Linked DNA regions of Drosophila melanogaster. The protein of the gene in region 1 purifies or fractionates together with the protein of each later gene. This does not show direct contact. Each region holds a gene or a part of one and is shown in the gene's direction. Other genes may lie near its edges.

The links.
Region 2: the proteins of Nxt1 (region 1) and Nemp purify together in Drosophila melanogaster (affinity purification with mass spectrometry, with the first as the bait; one large-scale study listed by BioGRID). This does not show direct contact.

Annotation. Positions count from the first base shown.
Region 1 is NT_033778.4:23,810,601-23,813,933, reverse strand, and holds Nxt1 (NTF2-related export protein 1), read left to right. Parts: upstream 1-1,959; 5' UTR 1,960-1,986; coding exon 1,987-1,995; intron 1,996-2,052; coding exon 2,053-2,139; intron 2,140-2,196; coding exon of another isoform or gene 2,197-2,209; coding exon 2,210-2,515; 3' UTR 2,516-2,607; downstream 2,608-3,333. Other genes in the region: pippin, read left to right, coding at 429-1,508; CG5543 (uncharacterized protein), read right to left, coding at 2,608-3,333.
Region 2 is NC_004354.4:16,652,720-16,656,988, reverse strand, and holds Nemp (nuclear envelope integral membrane protein), read left to right. Parts: upstream 1-1,973; 5' UTR 1,974-2,121; coding exon 2,122-2,853; intron 2,854-2,920; coding exon 2,921-3,553; 3' UTR 3,554-3,769; downstream 3,770-4,269. Other genes in the region: r (rudimentary), read right to left, coding at 1-591; CG32573 (uncharacterized protein), read right to left, coding at 3,822-4,269. UniProt on the Drosophila melanogaster protein: Contributes to nuclear envelope stiffness in germ cells. Required for male and female fertility.

The DNA of each region.
Region 1 (3,333 bases):
TAGGCGCACACAGTATACGCGTAGTAGTTCCGGATTCTTGACCTTAGTCTATAATAACGTGGATGCGGACGGGTGGGCGATTTGCTCGGATTTGGATGAATGGGCGCGTGTTCCCCCGGCTTTCGCTTCGCTTTCAATGGTTAATGGTTTGCCGCCTGACGTGATTTACGATTTTATGATTGCCGTCCAAGAGTTCCCACAGATTAAGATGTTGATGTTGCTTCCGTGACCCTCGAATAGATCAAATTGTTTTGCTGGCGAAAGTTCTAGCTGGGTTCAAGGTGGTCATGTATCAGAAAGTAATAGTAATAGTATCATTTATATAATTGATGGTCAACGTGGATAAGCTGGATTAGGATTAATGTAGACTTACTATATAAACTTACTATTTTGGCCTTCATTCATTATTTTATTTTACCTTCTCGAAGGTGTACATTGCGGAAACGGCGGAACCCAATCTGCGGAGTCTGCTGATCGGCGCGCCCTATGTGGCCTACTCAAGCGGCATCCTAATGGTCTACTCCCTGGGCTCCATGATGTACTGGCGTAGTGTTGCGTGGTGCGCCAACGTGCTGCCCCTGCTGTCCATGGTGTCTATCTCGTTTATACCGGAGACTCCGGCCTGGCTACTCCGCAATGGCCACGAGAAGCGTGCGCTGCAGGCCCTCTCGTTCCTGCGGGGCAGCGAGATCAGTGCGCAGAAGGAGCTGAATGATATGAAGCAGAGGCTGGCCAAGGAGCGGGTGACCACCAAGACGAACGAGAACATCTTCCAGCTGTGCTGCCAGCGCGTGGCCATCAAGCCGCTGGTCATTGTGATCGTGTTCTCGCTGCTGCAGATGTTCTCCGGCACGTTCATCGTGATCTTCTATGCCGTGGACATGATCTCGGAGTTCGGAGCGGAGTTCGACTCCAAGCAGGCGGCCATTGCGACGGCAGTTGTCCGGGTGATCTGCTGCATGGTCTTCTGCGTAGTCCTGATCTTCGTTCGCCGCCGCAGGATCATGATAGTGTCGGGAATCGGCTCCGGCTTGTTCTGCCTGGTGCTCAGTGTCTATCAGTATGCCAGATTCGATCAACCGAAAATGTCGTACGACGTATTCGTTGGTGCCGGCTGTCTCTTGGGCTACATCATCTTCAACACGGCTCTGATGGTGATGCCCGGCATTATGATCGGCGAGCTCTTCCCGGCTAGGATACGCGGACGGACTGCCGGCGGAGTGTTTGCCTCCATGAACGTCGCTCTGTTCATCTTCGCGAAGAAGTTTCCCGCTTTGCAGGCCATGCTCAAGATGCGCGGCGTGTTCCTGGTCTTCGGCGTGTCCAGTTTCCTGCTCACTGCCTTTATGTGCCTTTTCCAGCCGGAGACGAAGGGCCGCAGCCTGGAGCACATCGAGGACTATTTCAACGGGGACAACTGGCTCTGGTTCCGGCGGGATCGAGGCTACAAGACGGTCAACCTGCAGCCCCTGGAGCCATTGAAGGACACCCGGGGGCTGGAGGCCTAGGTCGGGGGGCTTTAGTCTTAAAACAGGTCTTAGCTTAGCTAGTTTTAGCCATACTCATAGTTCTAGCCGCAGTGCCTCGTAGTCGCCCTAGACTCGCTCGATTTTCCAGTGACCCCCAATGGGCCACTCCGACAGGGAATCTTCAAATGTTAGGTTACCAATTCAAATTGTGATCGCTATGCTTTAAATTGTGTCTAATTGTTAATTAAAATTATGATTAGAAATAAACAACTTGAAAAATAAAAGTCATCATTTGTTTTTCGGGCAATTTGCAGAAAATGTTTGCAATAAACTTGTTTTTAAGTGTTTGAACATCTTGACTTTTTTAAACTTTAAATAAATATTAAGGGTACTCACGTAGATTAGTAGCGTTTTTGTATTTCAAATGGTGGTAGTAATATTTTTGTTTCTTTCTTTCTGGAGAGTTTTTTTCTGACCACCCGAGGACGGTCACTCTAATTCGAGAATCGCGGGAAACATGGACAGCGTGAGTTGAAAATATTTAGTTTTTTAGCAATTTAGCATAGCAACTATTTGTTTAAAGGATTTGAAAGCCAAGGTCGAGAGCTGCGCCCGTACGGCGGATACCTTCACACGCCTGTACTACGCCTCCGTGGACAACCGACGCCAAGTAAGTAGAGATCCGCCTTGAAAGTCTGCATTTCATGGGAAAACGAAACTCAAATAGATTCCACCTGCAGCAAATTGGACGCCTCTATTTGGACAATGCTACGCTTAGCTGGAATGGAAACGGGGCCATCGGCCGCCAGATGATCGAGAGCTACTTTCAGGAGCTGCCATCCTCAAACCACCAGTTGAACACCCTGGACGCGCAGCCTATTGTGGATCAGGCTGTGTCCAACCAGCTGGCCTACCTCATCATGGCCAGCGGCTCCGTCAAGTTCGCAGATCAGCAGTTACGCAAATTTCAGCAGACTTTCATCGTTACCGCCGAGAATGATAAATGGAAGGTCGTCTCCGATTGCTACCGAATGCAGGAGGTCTGAGATCCACACACTTGTATTTTAAGCTAAGCTAAAGTTCTTACGTCGTAACGAGTTTATTAACATATCTAAGCTCTTATAAATAGATTGACTTCCTATTTGTCCGCCTCTGTCTTGGGCTTCTTGGTGGCCGGCTCGTCGGCGGGTAGTTTTTCGGAGAAGATGGCCTTTGGCTGCGTCTGCTTGTAGGCCGGTGCTATCCAGTAAGGATTCTCGGCTGCGTCCTTGGCATACTTCAAGATGGCTTCCCTGGGATCCTGGTCGTCGTCCACCCGCTTGCTCAGGCCCAGATTGCGGATGACATAGGAGGAGAGGGTGCCGCCGGAGCTGGCCACGCGGCCGCCCTGACCGCTGGTGATGGGCAAGTCCGGTCGCTGGGACTTGACAGGATCCATACGGGCCTTCTCCATCCGCTTACGCGAGGTACGGGACTTTTCCTGCCTGAACAATGGCAGGGCGTGCGGCGTAATGATCTGGGAGACTCCCACCATCTCCATGGGCTGCCTCTTGCGATGCGTCTTCACTACGCACAGCTTGGCGCCCCGGATGCTGCGGTGCTCATCGTAATAGCACTTAATGGTTCCATTGCCACAGCTCACGAACAGTTGGTTGAGCTTTGGGTGCCACAGCGTTTTCACCACGTGCGCGTTGGACACGGGAATCCGCTGCACTTCCTCGTAGCTCTTAGTGCTGTAGAAATACAGGTTCGCTTCGGCCTGGCCCTTCGGAAGCGATTCTCCGGTGACTAGCAGACGGTCATCTGGACTAAAGCAGCAATCTGTTGTGTCGTAGCGGGAGAACAGGTTTGTCCAGGTATGCAG
Region 2 (4,269 bases), on another chromosome or scaffold:
GGCGATCCGTGGTCCCTTGCCATTGGGATTACCGTACACTTGTCGCTCCTTAACGCTGCACTCCTTGGCCAAATTCCTGACGTTCGGATCTACGAAACTGGACTTGGGCAGCCCTTCGACCGGCGGTTTCTCGTAGACAATCTTGCCTAGCATGCTTCCCTGCTCCCTCAGTTTTTTGGTCAGGGCTCGAGTATCAATGTCTTGAATTCCGGGCACCTTGTGCTGCTTCAGCCAATCGGGCAGCGTCTTCCATTTGCGCCAGTGAAATGCCTCTTCAGCCACCTCGCCCACCACCAAGGCGGTGGCCTGGACGACGCCTTTCATCCACTCGAAGTGCAGCGGCAGTCCGTGCTCGTCCTCATCCGGCGCTGGTACCCCATAGTTACCGATCAGTGGATAGGTAAGCACCAGGATCTGACCACTGTACGATCGATCCGTGAGCGCCTCCGTGTAGCCAACCATGCCCGTTTGGAAGACCACCTCGCCACCAAAACCCACTTTGGATTCATTCTCCGAGGGAACGTAGCCAAAGGAGTACCCGGGCAACACTGTGCCATCCTCCAGTGCGAGGTAACAGTCCGTAGAGGCCATATTGGACGAGTTGCTGGGGAGGATTGGAAACCATAGGGTATTCTTTAGTACCTGTCACTCGAAAACCGTCTTAAATAAACGAGCAAAGTTAATTAATTAAAAGATCATATCTCTACGAAGGCAAGTAGACACAATATTGAGTCGAAAATCTGATAACAATATTCGGCGACTCTGGGAACTTTACTTAATGAGTATATGCTATGACTATGCTATATGTTTACGCAGAGCGCGTGCATACCCTCGATTTTAAATGTAATGTAATATAATTCCACAGGTTATCTTGTTCAAAAAACACATGTGTTTATAAACACACCGTCACACGCACACAGTTTGCCGGCCCAAGAAAATATACAAAGAATCCAATAGGAAGCCGCGATAGATGAATGTATGCATGTATTTAACTGTCTGGCAACATGTTGAGCGGGGCACAACACGGTTCTGATTGGGAATGGACACTGCTTATCAAGCGTTTCAAGTTCCTGTTGTCATTTGATATTGCCATTCACGGTTTGTTTACACGATGACTAGCGGCGGAGAAGAAAGAGGAAGAGCGAGTGTGAGAGGGTGCGTTTTGTGTGTGCGTAAGCACGTGTGAGAAGTTTGGATCCAATTGGAAACCGGTTCGGTCAGCAAATGAGAATAACAATAACATTGACTTTAACTTTGAATTGGACTTTGGGCAGGAATTGAGGATTAACCAACTGAGAATCCTTAAGCTACGATGCATTAGTATCGCCATCAAGTTATCCTTTTCCCATCTGCACCCGTTACAACTACAGCTCACTTACGATTCCGTGTACTTTCAAGCGAAGCTCTCTCTTTGCTGCACTTGTAGTTGTGAACACGTTTTGGTTTCGACTTTAATTCGATTGACAACTTGATTTGTTTACTTTGCGACACCGCTTTTAGAGCTGGTTAACTTCGCACTGCTCGGATATGTTTAGTTTGAGCATTTAACTGTGTTTGCTTGCAAATTGGCTCCAATTAACGTCTGGAAAATCAAAGTCGAACAACTGAATTCACCGCCTTGGTTGAATCGGAATCTTCGTGCATTATGTGCTAAAAAATGCCACAGCAAGAGCTTAGCTCGGCGGTGTGGAACTTTACTAGAAGTAATATTGCAGGTTGGGAACTTGGCAAGAACGTTATATATTCATTTATTGTTATGAATAAGATAAGATATTTGTAATAATATTAGCAAACATGTTTAAATGGGGTGTTCTGCAAAGTATTCCAAAGGAAATAAATAATCCACAATTAAATGGTTAGTCACAAATTTGAAATCACAACAGTGTAGTCACACACACACCTATCGATACATTTTTCTTACGTTACGATATACTGCCCGTCCCGTCGTGAGTGAGGACATAAACCAAAGCGGCGTTGCTTTTTCATTCGATTCCTTAAAGTAAAGTAAACATCAAAACATCAAGCATAAGCAAGTCAGCATTTAACAAGCGAACGTCCTGCGAGAGCAACAGACTGAAAGCGCACTGATTGATAAGATTAACGCCATTGCAACCGTTCATAATGCATTCGGCTGGACTACTGATGCTAACCGTGGCTGGATATTTCACATCGGGTATTCCTGGCAATACGGCTTCCTCGGACGTCGCCTACCTGACGCCGGGCACATACATCAATTTGTCGGAGAACATCTTGGGACTGCAGACTCTGCGCACGTTCTGCTATCCGGGTAAACGGCTGACGGTGTCAAGTCTCTTCGAGACTGTGGAGTTCGTCCTGGCCATCGGGAGCGATGATTATTCCCAGTACGGTGGGAAGACGCCGGAGGAGGTGTTGCAGCACTACAAGGACAAGCAATCGCTGTTCAGCATCACCCTGTTCGCGCAGAAGCGCCAGCTGCTGCAGCTCTCGCCCTTCGAGCAGCAGTGCATCGGGATTTCCTCCCGCCAGGCGTACACCGTCATTCTGAATAGCATTCCGCTGGATCTGTGGCGTCTCGCACAGTTCGCCGTCGGCATACTGATCCTCTTCAGCGCCCGGCGGCTAGCAAAGAACAGTGTGTTCTACTATCTGGTCGGCATTGTCATCGGCATATGCGCCTCCCTGCTGGTGGTCATCTATTTGGCCGCCAAACTCTTTCCGCGACGTACCATGATGTATGGCGTCCTAATTGGCGGCTGGACCATTGGCTTCTATGTGATCAAACAGCTGGCGGACAATCTGCGTTTGATTCTGATCACCTACCGCGACCATGTGCTGGGCTATCTGGTGATCACCGGACTGATCTCGTTCCTGGTGCGTAGTCACTTGATATTCCCTTTTGATTAGATAACCCCAGCTAATTGCCTCGATTATTCTACAGATCTGCTATCGCATTGGTCCGCCCAAGAATCCTCGATCGCAAACCATCGTCATGTGGGTGCTGCAGGCCATTGGCGCCGTTATGGCTTACTTCAGCAGCTGGCACACCAGCGCCGTGATCTTCATCATGGTGCTGGTCTTTGTGGCCCACTACTTCCCCATTTCGTGGACGAACCAGATCAAGTTCATGTATCGCCGCCGTTTTCCGCTAAAGAGGCGCATGCTCACCCAGGAGGAGTACGAACAGCAGACGGCCGTGGAGACCTCGAAATCGCTGGCGGACCTGCGCAAGTACGTCAACAGTCCGGAGTGCAAGCAGTGGGCGGTGATGGGCAAACTGCGTGATCCTTTGCGCTTCGCCTCGTTCGCCAATGGAGCACCGCATCTGGACGACGAAGAGATCGAGGACCACTCGCGCACCATCGAGGAGTCCATGGATGCGGCGCCCGAGGAGGAATCAGTGGAGGAACCTGAGGAGGATAAACCAGCGGAGTTACTGCCGCTGCCCAACTCGCAGTTCCGCTATCAACAGGCCGCCCGCAACTCGGAGCCGGAGCCGGAGTCGGAGTCCGATGACAGCGAGGAGGAGGAGTTCTTCGAGCAGGAGGTGGACCTTCGGCAAGTAGTACAATAACGGACGAACAGCTCAACCACAAGGGGAACCACTGATTAGGCTTAATTGAAACCATTGACCACCACGTTCTATGCTGTACCGTTCTGTAAAATTTGTTTGTTTGGTTACCCTTTCTAATATTTGTATAATCACTTGCAGACTGAACGGAAACACACATATTAATACAAATTATATATTTAATTATTCATGACTGGCTAGGAATAAAAACACTTATACACTAATGCATAAGTTTATTTGTTGCAAACATTCCAGGGTACAGCCATCCCGCTCATTTTGGCGGAGCACAGGCGATCGGTAGCCACTGGCAAGCCTCCGATGGCGGCGTGTGCATCTGGCCGGGCAGCATCTTCACCAGACGACGATCGTCGTCGAACTTTTCGGCAGCACAGAGCGTGAGTTCGCGCTGCCGGAAGATGAGTGCGTCGCCCGCGTAGGCGATGGTCCAGGTGCTGGTCGAGGAGCTGGGACTGCCGGAGCGCAGGGCGGCCAAGCGATTGCCCTGGCTGGGATCGACGAAGTAGTACCACTTGAAGAGCTCGCTACGCAGCGTGAAGAGCGGCGTGGAGTGCTGCTCCTGGACGAAGGCGCGTGTCAGGCCCGCGGTATCGGTGAAGTTCTTCTCGCGCCAGGAGAACATCTGCCGCCCATTCAGACCGTAGTTCCACTCGTCCGTTATGGTCGTGTAGATGTACTCGCGATCGGAGCGACTCAGCAGG